Arabidopsis thaliana: one gene and its partners. The protein of the gene in region 4 interacts with the protein of the main gene of each other region in a pairwise test. Each region holds a gene or a part of one and is shown on either strand. Other genes may lie near its edges.

Region 1 (8,640 bases), about 21 Mb from region 4:
GCTGAGAGTCATAAACTGGAGTTGAAATAAAAAGCGATGAACTGTGGCCCTCTTTGGCTGGGTTGAGGAAAGTTTGATTCTCAATGTAGCTTACGATGCTTAAACGGATGACATGAGATTCTCCCATCCCACGGAGCAGTTGTAGCAGTAATGCGATGAAAGATCAAGCTCAATGGAGATTATTTAGGTGTTTAGGGAGAGTATGTGTGGGATGAGCGAAGTTGTGTAAGAATAGGGAGGGAATACGCATAAGGATAACTCTGAGAGAATACTCTTGTAGTAGTTGATGTAACTTTTGTCAAAGATTATTGGTCTTTTAGTTTTGTTCTTATACTTAGCGCCTCCGGAGAGAGCGAGAATATTTTAAAAATACTTGACAGCACTGTATTATATACTGTAGTAATTTTGTTACTATTTTAAATTTGTACTCGGCCTTTGGTCTTGATCATTAGTGTTAACAATGTGAGTTATCAGAAAGCAACAACTATGAAAGTAGAGACTGTGGTAACGAAGGATCGTAAATAAAATATGAAAGATTATCAAGACTCAAAATCTTTACCGAAAAAAACATTCCTATGACAACAAAGAAAGTTTCTGTAGAGCTTTTGATCTATAACAACAAATCACTGTTTGATGCATATTTTGGTTAACATGAGTAAAACATAGATAACTCAAGTTGTGTCAGTTTGAAAACGCTGAGGGCAAACATGTTACAACCTATATGAGGTTATATGGTGTGATCAATCTCTTTAGGCTGTATAAAGGAGTCCCAAAGCCATCATTGCCAGCAAGGAAAGGCTGAGATTAGCAGCAATGGCAACGGTGCCTGAACGAGGAGGAGTTTGTGGCGGACCACCTTCAGTTCCATTGGAGGCCAACTTTGCAACTGGAGGCAGAGGCGGATCAATCACGTCTTTGGCATCAAGAGGTGGGTTTGGGGGAATAGCTGGTAGTTGTGCTTCCTTGTCTGCCACGGTGAGTAGAGCTCCAGCATCTGCAGGTAAGATGGCATAGGGCTGGTCTTTGTTCAAATCTGAACATGGACTCCCTGCATTTGCATCAAATATAATTGATCAGCCTTATCTTGGTAATGTTTTTGTTTTTTGTTTTTTTGTAGAAGTTTAAACTTACTTAGGTATCTGGTAGCGGTGGCAGGGAACTCCGTGATGACTCCATCAACGCCTCTCCCTGCAATGAATGTTGCAAGCTCTATCGTAGGATCAGAGAAGTAGTCGAACGCTATGGCGATGTACTCATTTCTTAGCACCGAGACGTATACAGAGATATTCGCTTTGTGCATTTCCTCTACCACATTAGTTTTCCCCGTGGCAAAGCTTTGGGAGACGGTGATGAGGGAAGTTCTCAAGAGATTGACAGCATCTGCATGCTTCTTGATTTCTTCGATGGATGTCTTAGGAGCATCTCCGATCTCCTTGTCGATACTCAAGACTCTTGTGTAAGGAGGGACAGCCTCGAAACTAGATAGAACTGAACTGTCATCCGACTGAATCAAAACCTTCTGGGTTGATTGCTTGTCGAGTGTGGAATTTGTAAGAGCAGACTTGACTACGTCTACGACTCCTAAGCCTTTCTTCGAGGCTAAATAAGCAGCATTCTGTCAACAAAAACAGTGTTAGTGGAGCTTCCTTGTGTTAGTCAAGGAGCATTTGGAAGTTAAATGGCTTGCCTGAATGTTGATTAAAACTCCGGTGACTGCCTTTGCTTTGCCGAGCTCAAGGAAGTCCGCAAGAGTCGTGAACTTCCCGGCGTTCTTGTTTGCGGGGTTTCTCTGGAAGCCCGTGGCAGTGAAGGGGTTTTCTATTTGTGCTGAAGACAAAGATATCCCAATGCTCAGTGACTTAGTTGAGAATAAGATTAGTTTAAGAAATCTATAGAAAAGAAATCAGTTTCTTACGCTTCACAGACTGGATCTCGGCCCATGTAAGATCAAAAGAGAAGATTCCGTTGGTAGGCTGGATCTCAGGAACGCTGGTGGCTCGGGACATGAAAGTAGTCCTGGCGGTGGTACTTGCTGAGAGGTCTGCAGCATCATGGCAGAAAGCGATTCCGTCTTTGGACATCTGAACAGAGCAGTCAATTATGTCTGCTCCATCGTCGATTGCTTTCTGGTAAGCCAGATCAGTGCAGCCTGGATAGTCTCCGCTTGCTCCATTGTGAGTTATAACCAATGCATGCCCTGCTTTGGGGAGATTGCCGTTTTGGTGAGAAAAGCAAGCTGCAAGAAAACAGACGCTTTAGCTTCTTCTTAATAATCAGCTATCTGAGGAAACATATATAGCAAGTCATCTCACTGATTGATTGTGATGCTGTTGGCGGGAAATCGGTGATGACACCATCAACAGAGAACTGGCCATTGTCCACAAACTGGAGATACTCAGCAGAGGGATCATAGCTGTAGTTAAAGCTGGTGCGCAAGTCGTTGGCAAACCCTGAAGCATAGACCTCTAGACCGGCTTTGTGAGCATCAGCCACAAAAGTGGTGGCGGGCTTAAGGTACTTAGCTGAGTCAATGGGCCAAATGTAGTCTTTGGGCACAAGAACGCCTGAAGCAAAGGCCTTGATGGCTGCGAGGTTCTGCTGAATCTCGCTGTACTTCTTGTTGGTGGTGGGCTCAACTGCCTCGGGGTCTTTGAACTCAAATATGAGCTTTGTCTTGGCCCTGCCCGCGTCCATCCCGATGCTCTTCAAGAAACCAATCTCTGGAGATGAGATGACATTAATGCCGCGGAATCGCAAGCTTCTCAGGTACTCGGCTGGGCTCAGCTTGTGTTCCATGTAGAAGGCATCGTACTGCACATTTGCATTGTTTGTTGTTTTGATGAATCAACAAAAAAGCTCCATATGTTGGTTAATCATGTTCTCAAAGAGAAGAAAACATACCTGAACGCTCAACCAGAACTTGGGAGGCTTGGTTCCAAGGACATCCTCCACTGCAGAAACCGACATTTGGCCGTCGAAGATGCTAGGCCGAGAGAAGATGTTCTGGACCACTGCTCAATAATACAAAACATGAAAATGTGTGGTGGTGGTGGTGAGCATTGAAGGGAGGAAATGAAAGAGAAGAAGACATACGAGTGACTTTGTTGAATATGGTGTCGGCATCGTAATCAATGACAAACCAGCCCTTGAGGTCCTGACCGTTGACCTTGTAGGTCTTCTGGGCTTTGGGGAAGACCGAGGAGATGGTGGTTGCATTGTCAAGTCTGATATCTGACAAGCAAAGGCCCACACCGTCCTTAGTCATCTGAAGGTTGCACAACATTGTGAAGCCAGGCGAGCTGGTGCCAATAGCCAAGTCGTTTGCAGAGATGCTTGACTCAGGGAAAAGACCCGAGAAGCCCCCTCTGGCCACAACGGCAGGCTCTTGTCCTGGAAGACAAAAGACAGGTACGGATTCTTAGAAACAAACAAACAACATGGTATCTTAAGTCTTAACATTAAACAACAACAAAAAAAAAAACATGGTAGTATGCAATATGGGCATACTCTGTAAAAGGATGCTTACCGTTAAGGGTAAGCCATTTCTTGGCAGGAACAGCTGCGGCAGCAGCAGGAGTCTTGGGTGCCGCAACAGAAGAGTGTAAGAAAAGGGAGAAAAGAATGAAAAACCTCAGCATCTCTATCTGATTGATCCTGCATTTGTGTGTAACGTACGTACCCCAATGGAAAAGCAAAGTCAGGATACATGTAACAAAAACAGAATTGTCACATTTAAGAAAATTGTGAAAGAGAGATCTTACAGCGAGAAAAGAACATGAATCCCCTCTCCTGCTTGTTTTCCTCGTTTAGTTAGAGGAAAGGAAAAAGAAGAGAAAGAGGAGATGGGTCAAACAAGGTTAATTAATGGTAAAAAAAAGTAACTTGCTCTCATATCCTCCATTTATGGCCATTTACTCCTTTCTATTTTTATCTCTTCTTCTCCACCATTCCCTTCTTAACCGCTTTTTCTTTTTTTGATGCTTTCTTACATCTTCTTTGCACAAATGGGTGTAACACCCCTCAGTTTTGGACTTTGTACTATATTCATTTGTCATACATGTATGTAGTTAAAATGACAATATTAGAGTTTGGCATTCGGACCAAACCAAGTTGTCCGATCTAAACCAAACCAATATTCCGTTAATAAGAAAACTCGATTGGCAAAAATTAAAATATTCTTTGGTTTCAGTTTTTGCCTAGACTTAAAATTCTTAAAAATCCAATTCTATGTGATGGAAAAATCTTTGATTCCGGTCCAATTCTGCATCAATATATGCTAAACCGAACCGAGACTGCCCACATAAAATTGAATTGAACCAAAGGTTTTTAATTTTTACTTCAACATAGCGAATAAGAAAAAGAGGGTATATATTCATTATTCAATGTTAATGAGAAGGCGTCTGCGTTTGGTTCGACACCTCAAAACTTGTTTTGCCTTTAGCATCTCCGAGTAAGGAATCCAGGTCCAAAGCCTCTTCTCTTCCTCCTCCTCGCTTCCTTCTCACGCAACCTTGGATCCACCGCAGCTATGAAGATCACCGCCTTGCTCGTTCTCAAGTGCGCTCCCGAAGCTTCTGATCCCGTCATCCTCTCCAACGCTTCGGACGTCTCTCACTTCGGTTATTTCCAGCGATCTAGCGTCAAGGAGTTCGTCGTCTTTGTCGGTCGCACTGTCGCTAGCCGAACCCCTCCTTCCCAACGCCAGTCTGTTCAACACGAAGGTTCTTCTCCTTCTTCTTCTACCTCTCTAGATCGATTGTTTTCAAATCTTCTTTCTCCCGGATCTAATGCAATCTCCTTTCCTCTTTGATTTTTATTCGATTTCTAAATTCGGATCGGCTTTTCGATTTTGAAACTTTTATGATTTAGGATGTGCACCGTTTCTGATTCTAGATCTTCCTGGACTATGCCCCGGCTTTAATTTCTTGCGATTCTATCTTATTGTTCTAGTCCTCGAATTTGGGATAATTAGGGTTCGTGTTTTTATTTTGTTTTTGGTTTAGAGTACAAGGTTCACGCTTACAATAGAAATGGCCTTTGCGCGGTGGGTTTCATGGACGATCATTACCCTGTTCGAAGTGCTTTCTCTCTTCTCAATCAGGTAATATCATTATGTTGAAAGTGGTTCTCAATGCATCATTCGTAAGTTTTCCTGTAATTTGGGTTGCTTGACATTTAATTTTGTCTCAGGTCCTAGATGAGTACCAGAAGAGTTTTGGTGAGTCATGGAGGTCTGCAAAAGAAGACTCCAATCAGCCTTGGCCATACTTAACCGAAGCTTTAAACAAATTTCAGGTTCTTCACTTGTGCAACTGTATTCGCTCTTTTACTGTGAATTTTGTTAAAACTGTAGTTATATTAAGCTCAGTTAGGTGGACATTAGAATCCAATCGAATGATTCATTCTTCATGAATTAATTTTAGTAGCCCCCATTGTTTTATGACCATGTTGGATTTTGAGTGATTTGATCTTAAATTGATTTTGGGATTGTCCCGTATTTGTAATCTTCAGGACCCAGCAGAGGCTGATAAGCTGTTGAAAATCCAGAGGGAGTTGGATGAGACAAAGATTATCCTTGTAAGTGCTGTCTCCGGTCCTTTCTTGTAGACCCTTATACATAAGCGGTACTTCCTTTTCTAAGTTTCAGTATACTTGCCAATTATACATAAATGCTGTTCTGTCGGTGAGTTTACTTTCTTCTGAAAAACACCAAAACAAGAAGAAAGTCTTGGTAGTTATGATGGATGTCCCTGTCTCCGTAAGACTGATTTTTTGTTCTGTATTGTAGCATAAAACCATTGATAGTGTTCTAGCCCGTGGTGAGAAGCTGGACAGCCTAGTGGAGAAGAGCTCAGATTTGAGCATGGCATCACAGGTAACATTCTAAAGTCACATTCTAGAAATTCTTATAGATTTAGTTTCCTTTTTTCCCTGTCTCGATCTCTGAGCATAGTTGGTGAACACGTTAGAAAGGGTTGTTGATTTAGCAGGCTTATAAGTGTTGTTGATTGATAGAGGAACTATTGCATGTTATTGTTGGGGTAGATAAATAGAGGAAGAATGTGGATTTAGAATACCTTCTTTGAAAAAGCTTTCTGCTTCAGCCTGCAGACATTTGAGTGCAGTTTGAACTATACAGTTGGATTTTGGAATTATTAGGTTTGCTACGAAGAATCATAGTGTTTTTTGCTATATCATCTGACCATGGGGAGGAACATATGTATTAGTCATATCCTCTGGAATCTCAAGATATTCTTCGTTATTTAGATTAGGTAAACCATGTTTACTTCCAACATGAAAATCTGATTTGGTTGTATTGGTTGGAACAGATGTTTTACAAGCAAGCGAAGAAAACAAATTCATGCTGTACTATTCTGTGAGCTGGAAGTCCTGCTGGGTATATAGTCAACCAAACTTTTGCTGGGGGGAGACTGTTTTTTCTATCGTCTTATCTATACATATAATTCCGTCTGTAGTTTGCATGCATTATTTTGATTCCATAAGTCTCGAGTCGTGTGGTGTGTTTATCCAAATACATAATGTCAACTTCTGCAAGATTTGAATTGTCTTTCCCAGATTTGATCTGATTGAATTTGTGTGCGCTTCCTTATGGTAAAAGAGACGACTTTGCATAACTAGATGAAGATGTCGTAAATAGACAAAAGCAGATGATGGAAGATAACTAGAGTAGACAAAGGGGGTAGTATATTACACAGACAAAAGGATCAAAGAGGTGAAACAAAGTCTTTGTGTGCCGTGTAATCTATTTGCCGAAGAGAGATTTGAACCACCAAACGCCCTTGGAGTCTTCAGGGGCAGTGTTGGACTCAGGTGGTGTGTCACTCTGAGGAGTCTTGTGAAGCTTGCTGATGTCATAACCTTCCTCCACTGCCTTCTCCACCAGCTGCTTATACGTCTCTTCCTCCATTTGCGCCGTCCTGCTCAATATCTACACCACCCACATATACAGAGTCAATCATTTTTGGGATCAATTTCGATTATTCGTTAAAGAGAAAAAAAAAAGAGTACCAACCCAGAGATAACTCCTGGAAGGCTGGCCAATGAGAGCGTGCTGGTAGTCAGGATCGATGTAGAGCACCCAGTAGTCTCCGGTGACGGGAATGATTGGGAGGAAAGGAGGGACATAGAACTTGACTTTGAGCTTGGCTTCGTCGCTTTTAGGATCGGCCTTATAGGCGCTGCCTTCGATAAAACCCCTCTTCCCGTTGCTCCACGTTTCGTTCAAGACGTGTATGGTACCGTCGGGGTTAAGGGTGTAGGTGGCGCGAGTGTCGACGCCGTTCTTTGGCTGAAACCTTGATGGGAAAGAAGCAATCTCGTACCAACGGCCCATGTATCTCTCCACGTTGAGCCCTTTCACCACTTCCATCTCTTTCTTCTCTGTCATTTCTCTTCTTTTTCTTTTCTTCTTCTCTAAGATTTCGATGTTTTCTTTGAGGTAAAAGGATAAGAAGAGATTCTGTTCTTTATAAGGAAATAAAAAAATAATATCAAGGAGATTTCGCTGGGACGAGAGGATGCCACGTGGAAAGCGTGTAGGGCAAGGGTTCTAGTAGCGTCTAGCAGTTACAAATGTGAATAAAGGTGGAGGACACAAATGTCTTCCTTGTTCTGTGGGAAGAAGGATACAATACAATGGGCCATACAGTCACATTTTGATTTGACTTCCTCTAGCCGTTTCTAGGCCCCACCAAATTATCCTATCGACATCTAAATATCTCTTCTTGTTGACACTTCAAAATAGCTCCATATGTAAACCAACGATCTCAATTAGGCCCATTACTATTCGTATATTGGTTTTGAATAACAACACTTATTCAGAAACTTTATAAAATAAATTTTTGTAACAGGCTCGCTTTCAATTCCAATTCATAAAAGAGAGTATGAAACAGGTTGGTGTACTATGATCTATTGACAGTCGGAGGAAACAATGTGGGAAGAAATTTAAAAAAATCACATGAAAATGGTCTCAAGTGGAGAAACTTAATGCAACTGGTAGAGAAAGAGATGACTAGCTAAGGTGGAGGAAATGAATCAAAGCCAAATCTAGTAGCCACTGGCACCATTCCGTTATTCTCCTCCTGCAACAAACACATTCACTTTCATTTTCTACAAACTACAAAAGCTTTTAATCCAATCAAGAAAACAACCGCGTTACCTGTTTCATCATCTCATTCATTATGTCATCGAATACATCATGCTGGTTGTCATTCTCTGGCTTTCCCGACTTCATCTCTGGATCCAGCATTGTAGTAGCTTTTCCAACATACTCTTGACTGTTGTCTATTGGGTTCATCAGTGACTCATCCAAGCCTTTGCTTCTGGTTGAATTGTTGTCTCTGAAAACCATGTTATCTGCGGGTAGAGGATACTCAATGTTACCGAATGGATTGTTCAGCATGGTGCAGTTCTGTTGCTCCCATTTCTGTCCGCCTAACGGATTCACGTTCTGCATGAAGCCGCCAAGTAATTGAGGATCACACTGCATCTCTCCACCAGGATTCTCTGCAGAAACCAAAGAAGTACAATCTCCCAGATTGTTCCCTGCACATGTCACTTGATCCGGCAAGAAAGCAAGATTTAGTGGTAAGGAACTCGGTGGGAATCTGGTTGTGTTCA
Region 2 (6,892 bases), on a different chromosome or scaffold from region 4:
AATTGTGCAACTTAAAGATAGCCAGTGCATAGAATTCCGTGGTTTGACATTTATGGCTATCCTGAACAGATACTGTGTTGAGTAGGACACTAATTTGGTCACTGAAACTACAAGATGAGGAACTTGGAAAAACTACGGGTTCAGGTCGAAGTTCGTCTCCAATAGGTTCTGGATTTTGGACAAGGAATCAACCTTAAAATCAGGTTGCAGACCGGAAACAGAAAAATCGTCTGGTCCATACCTTCCGGTTTCATCTAGCAAGCAAGTGAAGGCTCCAGCTCGTTTCCCACATGCTATCTGCAGAATCGAGAAAAGAAAGATCGATTACCAGTTGTAATCTTCAGTAAAGATGTGAGAAAAATAGTCTGAAAAGTTGGTAGGCATCCTTTCCACATAGAAAATCTTTAAGCAATGGCATGAGAAGATCCATTGTTTAAGCTTCTTTCATTGCATTGCTTATCGATTTGCTATGGAGAAAGGGTTGACCAAAGGCTTGTCATCATGTCTGTCACTCACATCATCTTTTAAGCTGTCACCAACCATCATGACTTCATTAGGTTGGATGTCCCATGTAGAACATATATGCAACAGCGGGTCTGGGTTTGGTTTATATGGACGAAACTCTCTGCCTAGTGCTGGAGAAAAGATAACCTATACAATGAAAAATAACTGTAAGGAACTGCCTCAGATTTCTTCTCTCTGATAAAAAAAAAAGAATGATCCAGCTAAACCTATCTCAGGCAGCTGTCAAAATGTCTTCAATTCAACATTCTTACCTCAAAACGTTGATGGAAGATGTCGATTGCCTTTTGAACATTGCGTGTAATTAGCCCCCTCCTATAAAGTAAAATACAAAATGTAACAACAGTCAAGTTATCTGAACAAGAAAACAAAAAATCATAGACAGAAGTATCTGAAAACCACAGACTTTATCTTTTTGGAATCAAGGAAGCCACATAGTTCAGCAGTACCTGCCACATAAATGATCACATATCAGAAGAGAATTAAACCTCTAAACGCCAAAGAAACACAGTACTCCTTCTAGATTTTCAACTGCTAAATCATCTTATAGAACTCAACAGCATAAAGTCAATGACCAGTAAAGGAATGATCTCAAATCGTGATGTGGGGCTCTAAGACAAAAGTCAAACCTCCGTTAGACCATAAAGTCTTCACTTTTAACAAATGTTCATTTTATCTTTCAGCCTTGAATTTGCAATCTTTTCTCATCTTTAACTCTACGAAATTCTCAATCTTTAACCCATTTTACGATAGATTATCAGACGAAAACCCAAATCCTTAACACTTCCTCAGCGCAAACACAAAATCAAAAATAAAAAAATAAAGCAGATGAATCCGTACCAGGCATGATTTGAAGCTTATCTATTCCTTGTTTCTCATAATCAGCAATGATTTCATACGCCTTCTGCTGTTTATCAGGACTCCACGACTCAATATGATGCAGAATATCAATCCCACTAGGGCTCTCTGCTTTGATTCGCTTGTAAGCATCTTCACCAAGAACAGCTCTATACATTGCGGCGAAATCGATGACCGGAACAGTCAGGGTTCCGTCCATATCGAATACAACACCTCTCAGGCGAGTTTTAGCGTTCGTCGTTAAATTCGCCATGGAAATCGAACAAGAAGGTCTGAGAGTGAGAGAAATAAATGTTCTTGATAAGAGGAAAGTCATGGAAAAGAAATGGTGATGCTCAAACTGAAATTGAGGCTCATAATTATTCTCTATTTTTAACCAATTTCGGTTCGGTTTAATTTGAACAACTTGGTTTGTTTTGGTTTAGTGGTTTTTCACTTGAGCATGTTTGTGTATGTGCTTAAGAATGGAAACAAAGACACCAACAATCTCAACAATAATGGTTCTGCTGCCTTTTCTCTTCTTACTCTCTTCCTCTTCGGTAACGGTTTCTTCTTCGGTTCGCTTGTTGGCCGTTCGGGAATGGTGGTACCAAGCCCGTCTAACTCGTCCCACCCACCAAACTTAGAAGCCATTCCAGCTGAACTACGGTTAACTCCACGGCCATTGACATTGTTTCTAACGGTTGATGGGTTGTATCGAATCCTGCTACTACTTCTCTCCACTTCTTCTTCTTCTTCCTCTATCCCGAATTGATTTGCTATTGATGTACCTCTGCGTTTATCCCAACCAATCAACTTCTGGAACGCATAAAATAACAATGATGGCCCGATTGCTACGGCTAGTGACACGAGGAAAGCTTTGGGTCCGGTGCTGAAGAAAAGCGATAAGATGATGAATGGGAGGAGATATCCATACGATTTGAATGCCTACAAAGTGAACATAAACCAAACACAATAAAGATCCCACACCAACAATAAGAGAGCAAAATCTGGTGTATGCAAATAAAATGCAGCTATATATCAACAAAGCCGTTTCTCTTATCTTTGAGCAGAAAGACACTATCTAGTTAGAAATCAAAACTAGTTCAGATTCACTACACAACGATATTAACTGTTTCTTACATGATCACCATAACCATTACCAAAGAACAATTTTGATACTTTAATCAATCAGCATTTTCAATTAGCAGTAGTAGATTCCCGGCTAATTTCATAATTAAGGCTTAAAAGATGCATGATTGAAACTAATTACCTTTAAAATCCAAACATTATCTACAATTTCCTCTAAGATCTTCCACAGGTCAAAATTAGCACTACCAATTCCACCACCACCATCATCTTCATCATCATCGTCTTCAACATTATCTTCAAAAAGTTCTTCCCATAGCTCCCGCCGCTTCCTTCCCCTTTTTCCCCTTTCCGTCAAACGGTATCCCCTACCGTCATCAGCGGCGGCGCATATTTTATAGCTGAATCTCCGGCGGTTCAGCTGAATTATCTTCGCCGAAGTTACTCTAGAGCATGAGGAAGAGAAACAGAGGAGTTGAGAACGAGAGGGAGGATAAGATCTAGGGTTGTGGAATCGCCAGACATGGAGGTTTGAGAAACTAAGATAAGTAGAAGCTCGCGGTAACGAAAGAGCTCCTCTATCCGCCATTAACGTCTGGCGAAGCGAGAACAGTGAAGAAAATGCTCTGCTCCATGTATAGACACACTCAACTTGCGCCACGTTGTCATCATCTCCTCCATTAGAATCGAATACTATAAACCGGCTTGGTCCAGGAGAAATGTTAGAACTGAAATCCGGTATAATTGCAGGGGTAATTTCGAGATCATCAAATGTCTGACCTGACACGCCTACGTGGATTCTCTTTTCTCTTCCTTTTTCCAGAAACGAGGGAGAGAGAGACGAAGCATCAAACAAGGCAAAAACAAAAAAAAACCAGGAGAGAATATTCCGAGGGAAAACGCGAGAAAATTTCTTACGTTCTGCGAGAATCTCCAGCTTTCCTGGGGAAATATTGGAAGGCAAAAGCCGAAGGGTTTAAGGTCTCTGTAATCGTCGGAGAAATTTGAAATATCGTCCGTAAAACGTGAATGTAGTCTTAATCTTCCGCATTTATAACGTCGATCAGAGATTTTGAAGCTAGTAGAGAGAGAGAAGCGTTTTGTGTTTGATTTATGGTGTTTGGATCCATGGTGTGGAAACACCAGCTGATTGGGTTCTCAGGGATTTTTTCTAATGTTTCTCCCGTTGGAAATCTTTATTCGGGATCATTTCTAGGAAAATCAGACCAGATTTGGCCGTGATAATGGTACGAGTCTCTCTTCTCTTATCTGCATTGCGATTTCTCCGTGTTCTTCATTTTTACCTTTTTTTTTTTATCTTCTGTAACCATAATTGCTATTTGAGCTGATTTTTATGTTGCCCCTTACATTTTAGATTTCATTATAAGATGTGTCTAAAAGAGAACAAAAGAACCAGCTAATGAAGCTTGACAATATTTTTTTTATTTGTTTCTAATATATTCTACTTTAATCAGGCTTCAGTGAAGGTAACTGTGGGGTCACAGGTCTGGGTGGAAGATCCAGATGAAGCCTGGCTAGATGGAGAAGTTGTGGAAGCTAACGGTCAAGAGATCAAAGTTAATTGCCAAACCAAGACGGTTAGTCCCTTTTCTCCAAAGCAACGAGACAATGTGTTAGTTCTTAAGGTACCTTAAGAATACATTGCTCATATTTGTGATGCATTTGTTTGTAGGTTGTGGCAAAGGTTAATGCTGTCCACCCCAAGGATCCTGAGTTTCCTGAGCTTGGTGTGGACGACATGACAAAGCTTGCGTATTTGCATGAACCAGGGGTTCTTCTCAATCTAAAAGCCAGATACAATGCAAATGAAATATATGTACGCTTCAGCATGTAACTCTTGTCAGTTTTCCTTCTTTCATTACACCCACTTATGAATTCTATGATTATCTCTACCATTGTTTTGCTGAAAATTACTGCACAGTTATAGCAATATCATTAATATTTCTCTGAAGTGTTTGTAGCAAGCTAATTTCTTCTTGATGGTTACAGACATACACAGGGAATATACTGATAGCTGTGAATCCCTTTAAAAGATTACCCCACCTATATGGAAATGAGATAATGGAGCAATATAAGGGCACAGATTTTGGCGAGTTAAGCCCACATCCTTTTGCTGTTGCTGATTCTGCATACAGGTAATCTTTTGTTGCATAGATGAAACTTTAACTAATGTTGCACTATCATTTTTTTTTGGGCCTCACCATCATCAAGAATATAAATTTAGAAAAATGATCAACGAGGGAGTAAGCCAGGCGATCTTGGTGAGTGGAGAAAGCGGTGCTGGGAAGACAGAGAGCACAAAAATGCTCATGCAATATCTTGCATACATGGGTGGAAAAGCTGAGAGTGAAGGACGATCTGTCGAACAGCAAGTTTTGGAGGTAGATAGTCTGTTTACAATGCATCTACATTCTTACTAGAGACAGACTCACTGAGTTTCTCTCTGTAGATATCTTCTTATTCTTCTCGTATTATGATCCTGTTATGCAGTCAAATCCAGTTTTAGAAGCTTTTGGTAATGCAAAAACCGTCAGAAACAATAATTCAAGGTGGAATGTCATTCACATTTCTTGATTTTTCAAGTTTATGTATGTTCTTGAAGTCAACCTTGACATATGTAGGCAAATCTCATATTGCAGTCGTTTTGGTAAATTTGTGGAGATTCAGTTCAATCATATGGGAAGAATCTCAGGAGCTGCTATTAGAACATATTTGCTGGAGAGGTCACGAGTTTGTCAAGTTTCTGATCCTGAAAGAAACTATCATTGCTTTTACATGCTTTGCGCTGCGCCAGAACAGGTAAACATGGTCCCTTGTATGTTTACATCAGGTCGAACATATGAAGGCTCTGTATGTCCAGTGCTTGGCCATATATGGGATTCATACTGAAAACTAGCTTCTGTTCTGAAATTTCAGGAAACTGAGCGGTATCAGTTAGGGAAACCAAGCACATTTCACTACCTAAATCAATCGAATTGCCATGCATTGGATGCAATTGATGATTCCAAAGAATACCTAGCTACGAGGAAAGCTATGGACGTTGTTGGAATTAGTCCTGAAGAACAGGTACCTTTTGTTTTTTCATTGACATGATCAGCAATGAGGATAACTCTTCTTACATTTTACTTTTGTAGGATGCAATCTTTCGGGTAGTTGCTGCTATCCTTCATCTAGGAAACATTGAGTTTGCAAAGAGCGAAGAATCAGATGGTGCAGAACCCAAGGACGATAAATCCCGGTTCCATCTAAAAGTTGCTGCAAAACTTTTCATGTATATGCTTCACTATTATGTGTTCTCGGATTACAGGTTTCTTGTCAATGGGAGGTAGAACCCTGATTGCTCTTTTTTGGGTAGGTGTGATGAGAAAGCTCTAGAGAACTCCTTGTGCAATAGGGTGATGGTGACTCGTGGTGAAAGCATTACAAAGCCTCTTGATCCCGGTAGTGCAGCACTAAGCAGAGATGCTCTTGCCAAGATTGTCTATTCTAAATTGTTTGATTGGTAGGTTTACAATAACGGCTTCTTTCTTAAGGGCTTATTATCAATCCTGGGATATAAAGTTTTGAAAGCTTACAAATTTATTGCTCCCAGGCTTGTGACTAAGATAAATAATTCCATTGGCCAAGACTCAAGTTCTAAGTACATAATTGGAGTCCTGGATATTTATGGATTTGAGAGTTTCAAGACAAACAGGTGCTTAACCGGTACGCTACCAAAATGTTCAATTTCCTTTTTCGAGTTGATTTATAAACTCCCTATACTGCTTCCTGCATGGCTGCCTATATGCTCTCTGATTTAGTCTTCTTCAAACATTGAGCAGATGGTTTGTTATTGGATTTCTTAAGTTTTAGCTACTTAGCTAGAGATTTTTTTCTGGTCTGGGACAATATTATTATTATTCTCATAATTGATTGTTCCTAGCTGTTATATGGTTCAACTGATAGCAGTTTTAATGCTTGTGTTACAATTACAACGTTGTCTTTCTCTTTTCACATTTTGCAGTTTTGAACAGTTTTGTATAAACCTGACAAACGAGAAGCTGCAGCAGCATTTCAATCAGGTTGGAGACTGAGGTTCTTTTCATATTTTTGATTCTTGATTGATCTAATTTTATGCTGATCCATATTCATGCATATGTTCCTCTCTTCTACAGCATGTGTTCAAGATGGAGCAAGAAGAATATACTAAAGAAGAGATTGACTGGAGTTACATAGAGTTCATTGATAATCAAGATGTCCTTGACCTTATAGAAAAGGTAAGTAGTATCACAATGAGTGGTGTTGGAATCTTTATTCCGTTTTCTAGCAGTTCCAGTTTCATACATATTTATTGATTTCTAGCACCTAATACAGAATTGTTCAATGTCAGAAACCTGGTGGAATTATTGCTCTTCTTGATGAGGCTTGGTAATGTACCAAAGCG
Region 3 (8,284 bases), on a different chromosome or scaffold from region 4:
TTTATTTACGATCTTGACTTACCACAAAATCGGAGCTCTTGTAGATTTTCATAATATTTCAAAAAAAAATCGTACTATTATTATTGCAAATATCAATCGTTTCAGATATAAGTAAAACATCGAAACTTCAATATCTTACAGTAAAACCCAACTATAAGATTATCTTTTGACAAGTACTCTTTTTTTTCTTCATAAATTTCCAATAATAGAGATTACAAGGTCAAAAGACTCAAGAGAAGCACGCATGCCCAAACAGGAAAACAACAAGACGCTAAACCATTATTAATTAGTTATGTCCTTAAATCCATGCAAATCTAAACCATTCACAGATTAAAAAAAAAAAAGATAAGTTAGACTGTAATTGTATATATATTGGTTGATTTACAGAGTTTGATATATCATAAAATGTATCAAACAATATAATCATTAAATGATGTTAGTTTGATATTTCAGAAAATGCATTTGTTACCATATTACGGAATCCATTATCCTAACCGTGACCGAATTGATGAAAAGGATTAGTGCATGGGTTGATTCACAATTTGAGCACTATTACTTGTTTGTGTATTTATAGTAAATCTCCATGCGAAAACCAAACATAGTAATTAAGGGTAGACTATCTAGTATATAGCACACAGCTCTCGACTGACCTAAATTTTAATTCAAACACTTATGAGATGGGCAGACAAATTTACTGCTTTAACGGTTAGTCTGTGACCCTGATTCATGAATTGTTGTAGTCCATCTCTAATATATTGTATCGTCACACAACTATTTTGATATTCATTTTCATCTTCTTTTTTTCTTTTTAATATTCCTCTTGTTTATATAAGATTTGTTAATTTTTAGTGACTGAGTTGCAACAGATCAACGACAGTCCTAAAGATCTGTTGCTAATACCACCACTAATTAGCTATGTTTGACAAACGGTAAGATCTTCGCCTTCAAATGAACATAAACATTGGATCAAGTCTGACCATTAAAATAAAAACGAAGGATCAACAAGCTTATGAAGATTAAATCTCATACTTAAAATTAATCAAGAACTTTGGCTTAGCAACAACCATCCTAGAATCTAACATAAGTCTAACACATAACAAACCGTACCCCTCTAACAATCACTGAGAGACTCGTTAACTTTAAGCATATCAAAAAACAAAAAGAGATGATGTTGTTCTCCGATAAACAATTTTCTCAACATTGAACATTGACAAAAAAAGATCAATAACTGATATAGTCCACGTCCTAAGGGAGTTGTTGATCACTCCTGCGCCGTTCCTCCCCATCTCTGAACTCGACTCTCCGCTTGCTCAGCCTGCATAATTTAGAATTCAAAGCTAATTAATGAAATGATCAAACCAAACACAAAGGAGGAACATAGCAGCAACTAAAAGACAAAGTAAGAGACCTCTTTGTTCCAGTTAGTGAAGTAGATGATTCCAATCAATATAAGTGTCTGCAAGCATATTCCAGCTACCATACCTCCCCATATTCCCTACAAAAATATACAAATGATTTAACACCAGATTAAAAAGAACAAGGCTAATACAAAATGGTCATATTAGTAAATAGCTAACCTGAACGCCGAGGTCTAGTGTGAATCCAAGAACAAGACCAGCAGGTAGTCCGATAATGTAATAACACGCAATGTTCACGTATGCAACCAGAGCCTGCCACCCCGCTCCAACCGCAACCCCTGACAAGACGGGCTGGAGGCTGTTCAAGAGGACAGTGAAGCCCAACAAGACGGCTATTCTCGTGGTTTCTGCTGCCACAGCTTCGCTTGAAGTGAAAAGATAAGGGAAGCTGTCTTTTGTGGCTAAGACAACAATCATGCACACTATCCCGATAAGAGTTGAAGTTATGGAGACGACTATCACTGAGAATTTGGCTAACGCTGCGTTTCCTGCACCCAGCTCATTCGATACTCTCACACTGATCACACCAAGAGACAAAGTTCACCAGTTCATGAGATTTTTATTAGCTTTCCAAATGTGGCTCCTGAAACATAAAGGTAGAGAACTTACCTAATCGCAGCGTTAAACCCGATCGAAATCATGGCAGTCCACCCTTCTATATTCATGCTGTGAACCCCAAAACATAAAATATGTTACTAAACAAACCTATTTTCAGTGAGAAACTAACCAAAGATCAGCACAAATTGATTACCAAATGGAGATGGCATCGACTGGTATCAACGGGTTAGGAAGGAGACCGGTAACAACAACCAGAACCATCAAGTACCAAAACTCCAAACTGCAAAACAAAAACAACTAACCTTTCATTACAAGCGAAGTCTCAGCTAACGTAAGTCTAAAGCTATCTTCTAGCCAAAAAAAATTGGATAGGTACCAAAGCATAAGAGCAGAGGCTAAGGAAAGTTTGACAAATCCATAGAGGTCCCGAAACGCTAGCATAGAAAATCCAGTCCACGCACCGTCTGATTTGGTGATTAAGATATACAAAAGCTGACCAATAACAATCAACCACCACGAGGTATTGAGAGTGATAGCTGCACCTACAAGTCCCCACTTAAAGTAAAGAATGAAGAGCCAGCTAAAAACTGCATGTATAACTAAAACCACTCCAGAGATCCAAGCCATCACAAGAACTTTCCTCTGTGACTGCAAGAATTTCTGTATCGGGAAGTTGGCTGCATAGGCAAATAGTTGCGGGATCATCCACAATGCGAACTTCCCTGAAAATTATAACAACGCAGAAGTTGTTACGTGAACATTGACTCCAAACTCAAAACCAATTGGCAAAAAGGAATAACAAGAATGATACCCGCGGCTTTAGAGATGTGAGGAGCCTCGCCGAAGAAGGAAAGAATAGGAGGAGCCCAAATGTAGACGGGAAGCAAAAACAAAGCAGTAGTAAAGAGAATGACCCATGAACGTTGCATATATATTCCCATCATCCTAATCTGTCCCGCGCCATATGCTTGTCCACACAACGTCTCCAATGCACTCCCCATCCCTAACTGCCACCATTTTCCATCATCAAAATGTTTATATTGTTTGATCTCTAAGCTTTTTTCATAGGAAACTTAAATGACAAGCAACAAAATTCAAGAGAGCTTACACAAGGACCCTCGTAGAGATTACTTGTATAACAAATATTATAACACTGAACTCAACTACATTAATATATCTACTTTATTTGAATATAAAACACACTGTTAGGATTTACTTAATCACAATTACGAAACAATTTTAAATGTATGGGAAAATCTACTTCATTGATATTAACGAATATTGATATTAATTAATACAAAAAAAGTCCTCAAATATTGACTTTTATTTCTGTGGCTATTATTAGAACACATTATCCATTACCAAGAACCTGACACGTGTGAAGGGTGTTTACGTAACATACCATGACACCGAAGGCAAGACCGGAGATAACAGAGTTTTCAACTGAGACGGCGGCGAGCTCAAGTTCACCGAGACGGCCGGAGAAAGTCTGAGTGAGAGCACCAAGAGAGTATTGACTTATGGCAGTGAAAATCGCTGGTCCTGCTAACTCCCAAAGCCGCTTCGACTCTTCGCCGAACTCTTTGGCCCATACTTTTGACGCCGACTTGGTTCCGGTGAGTTCCGGTGGCTCACGAGGGTCAAGCAACGGCAAAGTCTTATCCTTTCCCATGTGAAAAAAGCTCTGTTTTAGTTTCTCTTCTTTGCTTTCTCTTTGTTCTGACTTATGATATATGTATATAAATACAGAAGATGGAGACACACTAGTGTGGTAGGTGCCATAATGAATAGTCTAAAAAGGTCTGACATGAGATCTATCCAAAAGAAATAAACCGCCAAAAATGACTAAACGAAGGTAATGGAATTATTTAGTACATATTCTATAGTTTTGGTATGAATCGGCCTAATTTGGTAGTTAAATATTATCAGCATAATTTCTTAATATGAATAAATCTCAATTTAATGGGATTGTTAAGAGTATGGATTGGTTGAAAACTTGAAATGATAGTGTGATATGATAACAAAGATTTTTGTAATAGTTTATTTGGTTTTTGTTTTTGGGCCGAAGTTTGGGGCCGAAACTTTAAACACGTAGTTGAATGCAAGAAAAAAAAAAAAAAACTTGTGGTAATATGAAGAAGTACGTATGTACTAGGTAGGTACACTTTAGTTTTTCCTAGAAGGAGTTAACCGAGTCGTACAAGTAATTAAAATTATTGTGGACAGTGAATATAATGGACCAATGAGGACTTACCAGCTCGTTAGAAATACTTCGACCAAGGTTAAATATAATCAGACGGCTCTTTGAGTCCTAAATTGGGTTCAAAGGGTGACAACGGCAATGAACATTTAGTCACTTACCCTATCGCATTGAATTGGTGGATCTTGTTTTTATTTTCTTTTTAATATTAGGTGTTGGTGAAAGTGCAAAAGAAATTAATAAAATTGATGAACCAAAAAATCGACAGCATTTTGTAACAAGAAAAGCTTTTACACTGTCTGAACTTAACCAAAAGGAGAGTGAATCATGCATGGTCAATTGGTCATTGGTTAGTGCTCAAATTAACCATTGTTGTGAGAGCGAAGTTGTTGTGAAACTAAGAGAAATAAAAAGTCATGAACCAAATAATCGACATCGTTTTATATCAAAGAAATGCGAAAATATTACTTTGAACTTTAACCAAAAAGAGAGTGAATCATGGTAGATGATTATTGAATCGTGATCAAATTAACCATTGTTGTAAGAGCGTAGTTGTTGTATCATGGGATTCTTGCGGTAGTGAGGAAGCTATGTTTCAGAATAACTAGTCTATACTGAGAGGGATGAATCCTCGTTGTATCACATATTGCATGTGGACTCAAAAGATTTCACTCCTTGGTTGTTAGTTTTGTTCACATATTTCTTTTGTTTCGAAAACTAACATAGATTAACTCTTGTGAGTATTTAGTTACAATATCAAACCGTGGTGGCCTAAGCTGCTTAAGGTTACATCGATTGCCTCTGAAGGAGATATGGATGGTGTGATTGTGAAAGATATTATGGAGAATATTAAGGAAAGAGGTGATATGAGGTTTGGATCGAGGTTGCATTTTCCTGATTGCAGAGATGGGACGACCGGGAAGATGAACTATGTGTGTGATGAAGCCAGATTACGGTTCGAGCTCGGCTCTCAAAGAACGGCAACTTTATTTAGAAAACGCTCTGCTTGTCCCTTGATTGTTTAGCGTTCAAACTGTTGGATATTCCTTGCCTTTAGATGTTGAGTTTTCCCTTTAATAAAAAATACTATAAAAGTGTATTGTCCTACTACAGCTTTGATTCAAAATTATCCAAATTTATCCCAAAGAATCACTTTCTTTGCACTAATGAAGTAATGAGGCTACCACATTTTGTTTTCTTACCTGAAGTGAGCTAATATCTAAAGAACCAGACATTATATAAACAAGTGATTGAATACAAATTTGATTTCACATTTGCATATGAGAATTTAGTAGTCATACAATATTGAATAATTGCTCAGAATGTCCTTTCCACACTACCCCTTTTCAATTCTACCTTTTCTTATTTGCCATTTTCATTTATACCTCTTTAAATTTTTAATGACCATTTTACTCATATTTCGAAATTGTTTTAGGTTAACAAAATGAAATATTAATATTTTTTCGCCTAAAATATTCCAAAATAAATTTCCCACCAAAAAATTTCGAAAAAAAAATTTCCATCAAAGTTTTTTTCTCAAAAACATTTTTCCCGCAAAAATATTTTTTTGGCTGGAAATAGATTTACAAGGGATTTTAAAAGATCTTTAAAGGGTTTAAAAGGGTTTTAAAATATTTACAAGGGATTTTTAAAGGGTTTTAAAAGATTTTTAAAGGGTTTAAAAGTGTTTTAAAAGATTTACAAGGAATTTTTAAGGCGTTTAAAATATTTACAAGGGTTTTTAAAAGATTTTTAAAGAATTTAAAAGAAAACTCTTTAAAAACTCTTATAAATCTTTTTAAAACCTTTTGTAAAGGTTCACAAGAGTTTAAAATGGTTCAAAATTATTAAAAGGGTTTACAAGAGTTTTAAAAAGATTTTTAAATGGTTTACAAGGGTTTACAAGGGTTTTAAAGGATTTACAATAGTTTAAAAAAAAATTAAAATATTTACAAGAGTTTTAAAATCCTTTAAAAACTCTTGTAAGTTTTTTTAAAACCTTTTGTAAAGGTTCACAAGAGTTTTAAAATGGTTCAAAAAGAATAATAAATGTTTTAAAATACTAACAAATTTGTTTCTAAGAGTTAAAAAATGATTGTGAAGACTTTATAAGAGTTTTAAGAAGATTTTAAAAGGATTTACAAAGGTTTAAAAATCATTGTAAATCCTTGTAAATCCTTTTAAAACTATTGTAAAAGGTTTAAAATGATTCACAAAGGTTTAAAAGGGATTTTTAAAGTATTTACATATGTTTTTAAAGACTTTATAAAGATTTTAAAATGATTTATAAGGGTTTTTAATAACTATCAAAGCTTTTAAAAAACTTTCTAAGGATTTTTAAAAGGATTATTTTGGTTGAGAAAAAATTTGTTACGGGAAAAACATTTTGGCGGGAAATTTTCTTTTTGGCAGGAAAAAAGTTTGGCGGAATTTTGTTTTGGCGGGAAAAGTAAATTTTGGCACTAAAAATTTGGTGGGAAAATTTCAGTTCCAGTTACATGTTTTTATTAGATAAGGGTTATTTGGTCATTCTGTTCAGATGAGTGGTATTTTTTAAAATGGATAACATAAAAGTGTATTGTTGCAAAAGAGTAGTAAGAAATGGTAGTTTTGCATATCTTCCTAAAATATTTCTAGTTTAGTTGTCAGTTTCCTAAGAGAGGATACATATATCTTGTAAACCATTTGATGTAATTTGTTGGACAAAACATTATTTGAGATTAGAAAGAAGTATGTAAGAAATTTTACAAAAATATTATATATGATATTATAATAATTTATTTCATGTAGAAAATGGAGATGGATCTTCCGAATTTGATTTTCTTCTTGTGAAATGGTGGGAATTGATATTTTCAAAACTCCATCGTTAAATATGCAAAAATGTAATTTTCATTATACATATGTAATTTTGAATTAAAAACATAAAAATATAACCATCAAAATTTTCATTTAGTTTGGAACTAAAATATGAAAATGAATGATAAGTATAATCTAGTAATTCGTCATAGATAAAATAATATGAGAACAATCTAAGAAATATAAAGATAAAATTTAGAACCAAACCTTTACAATGATGTCTCAATTAATTTTTCAACCCAAAAAACAACACAAAAACAAAGAAAATATTTAAGATTTAAGATATGGTAGAAGTGAATGCGGAAAAGGTATAAACTGTGATACATGATGTATTAGATGTGACGCCTTTGAGAAAACAATTAATCATACGCTTTTTCTTTACCATCCAGCGTATGATTAATCATACATGATTTTATTGTGAAAAATGTGTTAATAAATCTTGGCATCGTGTGAATAAATTTTGAAAACTCAAACTGCCTTATTTTGAGAAGGTTACTCTTGCCCGTTAATCATTTTTTCATTGTTTTTTTTTTTCAAATCTATGAAGTAAGCCATGTGACATAATATGATTTGTTAGGTGATTTGTACTTTATAAGATAAAGGATTATACGTGTTTGATCAAAGTAAAATTAGTCCTCCCTCTTGATATGCAAATGTCGAATATTATTCTTCGATTTAAACCGGAATTCTACTTATAAACTATTCACAACCAAACAAACAAATATCTTAAGGGGTGAGAAATTACGACAACGAAAGAGTCTCGTAATGCCTTTTGTTTTGTTTGTTGCAACTCGTGTCACATCTTCCATCGTCTTCACATCATTGGGCCGACTCTTTTGCCTCTTAACTTCTTCATCTCCTTTCGGTATGTTATCACTTCTGCTAGTACTAGCTGTGTTATTTTCAATGAAGACTTTCTTCCACTAAGCAAGTAAGTCTTCTTTGCCCCGAATGATGCTTGTTTCAGACAATCACTATTTGAAATATTTGGTAAGGGTTGCTTTATTCATTCAGATAATGTAAGTATTTATACACAAATATTCTAAGGGTTTTTTCTTGTACATAAGATCCATTAAGGCCCGTTACTATTATATAAATCTAGTGTCGTATTCAATTAAAAAATATTCTGCCTAAACTAATTGGAGTTCTATGTAGTTATAATAGATAATGCCACTTAGAAAACTCTCTAAACACAATTTATGTGTCAATACAGTTGGTTCAACTCTTGTAAGCTCACACTAAACAAATGGTG
Region 4 (7,742 bases):
TCACTTTTCTAATATTTTAAAGTGTATAGCCTATTTAAGTATATGATCTGATTTAATTAAATGGAAAACAAAATATTAAAAGTATATTCTTGAAATTGGGACATATATTTTTATGGTGATAAAATTTAATTATAGATTTGTAATTTGATGGAAATTTTTTTGATAAATAGTTATCAGCAATATAATAAAGTTAACACTCTTATAACAACTTAACAAAAAAAACACTCTTATAACAAAAAAGAAGAAGTTATCAGCAATATATTTATACTGTTTTCGTTGACTTAAAAATATAACTTATAACACACCTATGATTTATATATCTCAATTATTGTTTTGTTGCGATCATTGATATTCTTTTTTAGACTATGTTTCAGAATGATGACAACAATGTTATACCTAGACATATATAGTTTTAAATGTTGTTTTCAGCTTTAACCTATATTTATTTTAAAAATCAGCGAGCTTTTCTTTTCGTTTTTTTAGAATATAGATTTAACTTAAAATTTAGAAATTAGAGTAAAATGAGTAATTTAAACAAAACTTGCAAATCAACAAATTTCTTAAATAACTGATTGTCAGACAGATCACAAGCAAAAGAAAGCAAAAACCGTGATAGTCCCCAAAACAAGAGAATTGGTTGGAAAGGGTTGATTGTGAATAGTCATTATATCAAAGACTTCGTTCGGTCGTGGAGTCAGAGTCAGAGTCAACTATACTTGTAAATCGTAACTTGGATCTTAATGTATAAAAAGATAGTTTTAGAAGAAACAACAAGATCATAAAACTATTACAAACAATAGGGATATATATACTTCTCGTTAGAGAATCTACACATCACCGGAAAAATAAGAGAAAACAGAAAGAAAAATTAAAGAGAAAATACGAAGAAGAAAGGCGTAGCCTTCCCTTTGCCTCTGTTGACTTGCCGTTTGTTTTCTTCCTTGATCTGTTGTTAACCAGAACCAGAGAAAGATAACGGAACCGAGCTAACTTCCATTAGCCGTAGCTCGACGTGCTTCTTAACGTCGTCGTCTTCTTTCTCGGTTTCTTCCTCCTCCATATCTCTTTCCCTTCCTTAGATTAATGAAAACGAAGCTAACTGTTAGTGGTTGCTTTAGTCTTCTACGTCTCTCTTCACCCCATTTATAATGCTTCATCTGGTCCCATATCCAAAACCTTATATATATAATGGCGTATATTATTATCGTATTATTGTTTAAACAATATATTTTAAACATGAATTATGTCTTGTTAAGTTTTCGACCCATGGAATCTTTTTGAAAGTTATACCTAACGTCGGTAAAAATTTAATAAACATTTTTATAACGTGCATCTACTTTTAAAAGAAATCCATTTGCATTATTGCATTAAAGATGTTTAAGCATTTGGCTCTCCCCAACAGTTTAGTTCAAATTGTTTGATAGAAAAAGTTGTTTCTTTTTCTTTTCACGTACAAGTACAACGCTTGATTCTAAACATTTTAAGTTAAATTTGAACCATAGTTTAACAAAGTTGTCGAAAAACTCAATTATACTGCAAATGAACGATTTGAACAATATAATAGTGTTGAAGCTAGTGGAATAAGATATATTCAGACAAAGGTATGACAAGAAGTATCGAGGTGGTTTCTGTAGAGGGATGGAATTATTCTTTAATTATTTTTTCGTCGGCATAGTTTTTGCTATATATCTTCCACTTGCTGGAATTATATTAATGTGTTATCTAAAGTTCGCAGCATAAATTATTGTTGTTGTTACTGTTTATCGTTAATACTTTTTCTTGCTTTATTATTAGTAGGGCTACTTTGCTAAATAAAGAAAAAAAAATAGAAGTTTAACTCGTAAAAATGATTAAGTGGTAGTCGTAAATAAGTGATTCATAATGTAAAATTAATATATAGTGTCAAAAAAAAAACATGCTATTTATTTTTGACTTCTGCATGACTATTAGCACACACAAGAATATATATTATATAGAAATGTCGTCATTCCACTAGCTATAATATATACATTTTTGATTTTTTTACTAAATAGATCATATATTTTCGTAAAATACTAATTTTCTAAGGAGCTGATCTAGTTTAGTGGTCATACGAGGACCACTTACCTCATCAGCTCAACCCACTAATATTGAGTTTGTACCAGTTTGACAAAAAAAATACTTAACTTTTCAGAAAATAAAATGGAATTAGTTATTTTCATAATTACATTTTCAGTTAATAAAACTAGGATAACAAAAACTTGAGTTTTCTTTTTCTTCTTCTGAAAGTTATGACCTACGTAGCTAGGTTTTAGTTTACAGTCGTGGTTAACTTAGAGACTCTTTGATCATCAATCAGTTAAGACCAATGCTTCTTTAAGCCATTTAGTTTATTCTTGATGATAAAAGTACGTAACATCATTTTTAAAAAATTGTGGTGAGTGAGTAAAAGTCACGATACAAAGAAAAATATTCATAGTTTGAAAAGAACGTAAAGTAGAGATGAAATGTGAATACGATTATATATATTGTTTACATAGTTAATGTATAGGCCTTTCTTTCTTTATATAGGATTGTAAAGCTCTTTACACCGCTTTATTTATAACAAAAATAGAAATGAGCAAATAATTACGTCGAATAAGCACTAATTCCATTAAAGTGGGAGCTAGTAAGCACCAAGCACACTAGTTCAACTCGTATCAATTTATTGTATTTAAATCAGTAGTTAAAACTTGTTTAATTTCCTCATTGAGAAAGATTTGCCCACTTTAGTTAAGTCTTATCCCAAATAGCACTTTAGTTAAGTCTTTATCCCAAATAACTTGTTTACTTTTACTTTTCTATTAAAATTATGAATAGTACTGAATTCACTATTTAAATAAAGGCACTATGAAATAAAAAGAACTCCATAAAAAATGCATTAATTATTTTATATTTCTTAAATATAGACAAACTTTATAGAATTAATGGCTACAATAAATATTACGTTGAAAATGTCGTTTTAATATTTCTCCATCTTTTTTACATAATATTTATATGAATTTAAATTTGAATGTCGATACAACGATAACACGAAGACGAGAAAATATAACTATTTTCATTAGAATTGACACCAAACATATTTAATCTCTTCATTTTTGTCTTAAAAACAAAAGAACATACTTTCGTGACATAGGTTCATTTAGTACTTGATGGATTTTCGTGCCATTGGTTCATTTACTCGATGCAAGGCACGGTTCCATCGACACAGCAGCAATGTGATTGTCACATGTCGCGTGGTAAGACGAGGGTTGCTAGAGCTTACCAGTAAAAGAAGATACACAAATTTTGGTCTTATCCATTAGGCATACAAATTTAAAATATAATTAATATCTCATATTTTTAATTTTGACAGAACCAATGAAATAAAACACGCGCATTACTGCAGTGAATCCCAATTATAAGGAATCTGATTTGACGTGGATCTTCAAGACACTTCCACGAATTAAACTGCATGTTCTTAAATGCTTACACGTATTACTTCTACAACTCTCTTCTCTACTCCAGATGTCTCCATCTTCCTTTTATATCCGATATCTAAAACGCTCTCAAGTATAGCACAATCCACAACAACAAAAAGTACAAATCTTACTCTTCTTTTCAGCTAGATTTTACTAATCACTCGCCAAGAACAACCAATGGCCGTTCGATCAACCGTAAGTAACCTAAGACGTCGTCGTTTCTCTATGATTCATTTGGTCTTCACGATTTGACTTTTATCATTTTGTGTTTGAAGGGTCACTTGAAAAACGTAGTGCAGAGGTTAAGAACTTACACGAAGGCGACAACCGTACCAAGATCCAAAGCGTATTCTACGGCGGCAACAGAGTATGGTGGCCAGAGAACCGCCACCACAGCGGCAGCAACAAAAGGTGACTTCACACCAGTTTACGTCTCCATAGGATTGATTTCATTGTCAGTAACATTTGGTGTCTACACTGCGTATCTTCATCTACATGAAAACCCTGGCGTACGTGTCAACAAGAAGATGAGAGAGACCGTTCCCGAGATCGAAGATCCAGATAGAGTTCTAAACGAAGCGGACCGGTTCGCTAACAGGTCTTGGTTTAGGAAAATAGCTCACGTTCAAGAGTTTGACAAGCAGGATGTGATCTCTGACCCAATCAGGAAAGACCAGTTTGCTCATAAACCTCGTGCCTTGACGCTTAAGGATGTTGGCGTTGATCCTAAGATATCGGCTGCTGCAGCTCACTAAGTTTTTATGAAGGCTGGTTTATGTGTTTTGTTTTCCATGTTTCTGTCGATAAATAAAACATCTGAAGGAGATCAAAGAGTTTTCAAATGGGTCGGTTAAGGTTTTATCCTGTTTCCTCTTGGATGTATTACAGTGATCAAGCAACTTTTGAGTGTATTTGTGTTGTTTCAACAGCATGTAAATTATCTAATGAAATTTCGGTCGAAGTAATAATACAACTTCGTTTTGCTTCTATTTTCTTCTGGATTAACGATTTTAGTAAAAATACTCATTTGGGAGAAACCAATTTCTTGGGTCTAGGTTTGAATGAGATAAAATGGTTAACTTCCTAACCTTCTAAGAGTGTCCGAGGATTCATTCGCATTCTAATTGGGCCCAGGTCAAGGCCCAGGACCAGGCCCTAGTGGGGTAAAATTTTGCACGCGTCGGTGCTTTGTTTTGGATGACTTGGCGAGAGGTGATAGGGTAGTGTCACGTTGGCGAGCGATATTCATTGGAAGATAACAATCAAAATGACGTTCGTAGGTCTAAGAAATACGAGGACTAAAGAGTAAAGAATATCTCTCTCTCTGATCTACTTAGTACTTACTTAGTAGTTACTTCTCTGTCTTATTTGATTTTGAGTCTCTGTTTTGTCTCTTCTCTTGAGATTGCGATAATGAGAGAACGGATTATTACATTCGTTTCGCTGCTTCTTGTAGCTTTGCTTTCGTTTCCCAGTGTTAGCTACTGTGACGACCAAACGGTGATTGGTCACTTCCTTGAAAAAGTTCCTATTTTAAAGATTTGTTCATCGAATCTCCAGTAACATGGTGTTTTTGTTGTTGTTCAGATCCTGTATGAATCGTTTGACGAGCCTTTTGATGGTCGCTGGGTCGTTTCAGAGAAAGCTGAATACCAAGGTAAAGCCATGTCGTCGTAGTGAATTCGTGTTTTGAATTTTTTGGTTTTCTTTCGTCTGTTGAAGTAAAAACAAGTTAGAATTAGTGTAATGGAAGTTACAATCAAAAGGGGGTCTTAAAGTTTTGGTTTTTATTGGAACAGATTTAGAAATGTTTACTTTTACTATAAGTGGATAAGAAACAGACTTTGTGTGAGCTCTTAAAAGGTTGCTTCTTATTTGAAATCTTTTAGGTGTGTGGAAGCACGAGAAGAGTGAAGGGCATGATGATTATGGACTTCTAGTGAGTGAGAAAGCTAAGAAGTACGGAATAGTTAAAGAGCTTGATGTTGATGAGCCTCTAAACCTTAACGAAGGAACTGTTGTTCTTCAATACGAGGCTCGTTTCCAAGAAGGGCTTGAGTGTGGTGGTGCTTACTTAAAGTATCTTCGTCCTCAAGAAGCTGGATGGGTTCCTCAAGGGTTTGATAATGATTCTCCTTACTCTATCATGTTTGGACCTGATAAGTGTGGTGCTACCAACAAGGTTCATTTCATCTTGAAGCATAAGAATCCCAAGAGTGGCGAGTTTGTTGAGCACCATCTCAAGTTCCCTCCTTCTGTTCCGTTTGACATGCTTTCTCATGTCTACACTGCGGTCTTGAAATCTGATAATGAGGTGAGGATTTTGGTCGATGGTGAGGAGAAGAAGAAGGGTAATTTACTGTCTGCTGAAGACTTTGAGCCTCCGTTGATTCCTTCCAAGACCATCCCTGATCCAGAGGACAAGAAGCCAGAAGACTGGGATGAGAGAGCCAAGATTCCTGATCCTAATGCTGTGAAGCCTGATGACTGGGATGAGGATGCACCCATGGAGATTGAAGATGAGGAAGCTGAGAAACCCGAAGGATGGTTGGATGATGAGCCTGTAGAGGTTGAAGACCCCGAGGCAAGCAAGCCAGAAGATTGGGATGACGAGGAAGATGGTGAGTGGGAGGCTCCTAAGGTTTCCAACACCAAGTGTGAGGCAGCACCCGGATGTGGCGAATGGAAGAGACCGATGAAGAGGAACCCTGCTTACAAGGGCAAATGGAGCTCACCTCTCATAGATAACCCAGCTTACAAGGGAATCTGGAAACCAAGAGACATTCCAAATCCTGATTATTTTGAGCTTGAGAGGCCGAATTTGGAGCCCATTGCTGCCATTGGTATTGAGATATGGACAATGCAAGACGGTATCTTATTTGACAACATCTTGATATCTAAAGACGAGAAGGTTGCTGAAACTTACAGACAAAGCACTTGGAAGCCCAAGTTTGATGTGGAGAAAGAGAAACAAAAGGCAGAGGATGAAGCTGCTGGTGAGGCAGATGGTCTCAAGAGTTACCAGGTATATTGATTTTCGCCACAAATTTGGAATGCTTATACATATCCTTTGTACTTATATTATGTATGTGCATTACTGCAGAAGAAGGTGTTCGACCTCTTGTACAAGGTTGCAGACATTTCTTTCCTTAGTGCGTACAAGTCAAAGATTATGGTAAGTTCTCATTTTCAGACTTTAGAAACATATTGTATAATGAAGAATCTTAAATGAGAATTTGCAATTTTCGTTTGTAGGAACTTATTGAGAAAGCTGAAACACAGCCAAACTTAACCATCGGTGTGCTCATTTCCATCGTGATCGTCTTCCTCTCTCTCTTCTTCAAGCTCATATTTGGTGGTGCAAAGGTAAAAAAAAAACATGTCAGTGAGATGTAATGTTTTGGTTGGCGGGTGTTTGAGTCTTAACGAAATTCTTGGTATGTATGTAGGCTAAGGTAGAAAAGAAGAAACCGGAAACAGCTGCAGAGACCTCGACAAGCGAGGCAAAGACAGAGGAGAAAGCAGAAGCGGTGGCTGCACCACGAAAGAGGCAGACGAGGCGTGAGAGTTAGATAAAAAGAGGATTAGATTTTGATTTTTGGGGCTTTTTGTTTTGATTTATCACCGTATAGACAAACAGTAGTGGACCTGATATTAAGACGATTATTGTAACATGTTTTTTTTGTATGCTTTTAGTTTCACATGAATCTGAATGTGGATCACAACATTTATGAGTTGAAATTTGATAAGTAATGGGTTGTGTACATCACATGCATCAGCATTATCAGTTTATCGTCTTTAGCTCGAGTGTTTACAACAAAATCTTAGCTTCGAGATTTAGACTTCTCTACCAAAGGGTCTTGATAGCCATGGCACGAGACTCGTATGATATACTAACCACAGTTAGGTCTGTTTGCAGAATGGATTCTTTGACAGAGCACGAGCTTCAGCAGCCAGAAGAGCATCATAAAGGTTTGATCGCTCTTCAAAATCTGTGTGTCTAACCACATTTCCAAAACCACGGGCAAGAACGAGCTCAGCACTATTCACCAGCTGGCTGACTGCCAGCAGATGATGCAGTCACTTCATCAGAAAATAAGACCAAAGTTGCTCCAACGACCATATCCTTCCTGCTTAGTCTCTGCTCTTTTTTTGTTCTTTCTAATGTCAGTGTAACATAAATAAGACGGCTTAAGGAATGGAAAGATAAGTTGGACCAGAAAACACACAAAAACTGTAAGCATGGTTCAAACTTCCCCTTAT

Evidence for each region.
Region 1: the proteins of AT5G07340 (region 4) and SVL4 interact in a protein complementation assay, tested with the Arabidopsis thaliana proteins (one large-scale study listed by BioGRID).
Region 2: the proteins of AT5G07340 (region 4) and AT2G33250 interact in a protein complementation assay, tested with the Arabidopsis thaliana proteins (one large-scale study listed by BioGRID).
Region 3: the proteins of AT5G07340 (region 4) and AT1G47530 interact in a protein complementation assay, tested with the Arabidopsis thaliana proteins (one large-scale study listed by BioGRID).

Annotation. Positions count from the first base shown.
Region 1 is NC_003076.8:23,493,749-23,502,388, forward strand, and holds SVL4 (SHV3-like 4), read right to left. Parts: upstream 3,854-8,640; 5' UTR 3,762-3,853; intron 3,655-3,761; 5' UTR 3,639-3,654; coding exon 3,527-3,638; intron 3,391-3,526; coding exon 3,094-3,390; intron 3,012-3,093; coding exon 2,902-3,011; intron 2,812-2,901; coding exon 2,313-2,811; intron 2,237-2,312; coding exon 1,916-2,236; intron 1,828-1,915; coding exon 1,688-1,827; intron 1,616-1,687; coding exon 1,132-1,615; intron 1,049-1,131; coding exon 750-1,048; 3' UTR 501-749; downstream 1-500. Other genes in the region: FIP1[V] (FIP1[V]-like protein), read left to right, coding at 196-252; YKT61 (SNARE-like superfamily protein), read left to right, coding at 4,529-4,721, 4,870-4,943, 5,012-5,101, 5,191-5,295, 5,512-5,577, 5,789-5,875, 6,330-6,380; TIL (temperature-induced lipocalin), read right to left, coding at 6,764-6,949, 7,034-7,408; RR18 (response regulator 18), read right to left, coding at 8,037-8,102, 8,180-8,640.
Region 2 is NC_003071.7:14,093,599-14,100,490, reverse strand, and holds AT2G33250 (uncharacterized protein), read right to left. Parts: upstream 3,123-6,892; 5' UTR 3,038-3,122; coding exon 2,633-3,037; intron 2,308-2,632; coding exon 1,813-2,307; 3' UTR 1,740-1,812; downstream 1-1,739. Other genes in the region: AT2G33255 (Haloacid dehalogenase-like hydrolase (HAD) superfamily protein), read right to left, coding at 133-297, 517-651, 777-837, 929-971, 1,363-1,696; XID (myosin XI D), read left to right, coding at 3,577-3,633, 3,924-4,046, 4,142-4,285, 4,459-4,604, 4,694-4,850, 4,960-5,018, 5,109-5,268, 5,386-5,535 and 6 more.
Region 3 is NC_003070.9:17,447,088-17,455,371, reverse strand, and holds AT1G47530 (MATE efflux family protein), read right to left. Parts: upstream 3,820-8,284; 5' UTR 3,649-3,819; coding exon 3,379-3,648; exon of another isoform or gene 3,085-3,378; intron 2,984-3,084; coding exon 2,788-2,983; intron 2,699-2,787; coding exon 2,353-2,698; intron 2,257-2,352; coding exon 2,170-2,256; intron 2,085-2,169; coding exon 2,028-2,084; intron 1,936-2,027; coding exon 1,578-1,935; intron 1,496-1,577; coding exon 1,409-1,495; intron 1,316-1,408; coding exon 1,262-1,315; 3' UTR 911-1,261; downstream 1-910.
Region 4 is NC_003076.8:2,312,408-2,320,149, forward strand, and holds AT5G07340 (Calreticulin family protein), read left to right. Parts: upstream 1-4,805; 5' UTR 4,806-4,892; coding exon 4,893-5,003; intron 5,004-5,066; coding exon 5,067-5,136; intron 5,137-5,368; coding exon 5,369-6,504; intron 6,505-6,582; coding exon 6,583-6,654; intron 6,655-6,734; coding exon 6,735-6,845; intron 6,846-6,928; coding exon 6,929-7,051; 3' UTR 7,052-7,242; downstream 7,243-7,742. Other genes in the region: AT5G07330 (NFU1 iron-sulfur cluster protein), read left to right, coding at 3,657-3,674, 3,755-4,234; Tudor1 (TUDOR-SN protein 1), read right to left, coding at 7,614-7,636, 7,715-7,742. UniProt on the Arabidopsis thaliana protein: Calcium-binding protein that interacts with newly synthesized monoglucosylated glycoproteins in the endoplasmic reticulum. It may act in assisting protein assembly and/or in the retention within the ER of unassembled protein subunits.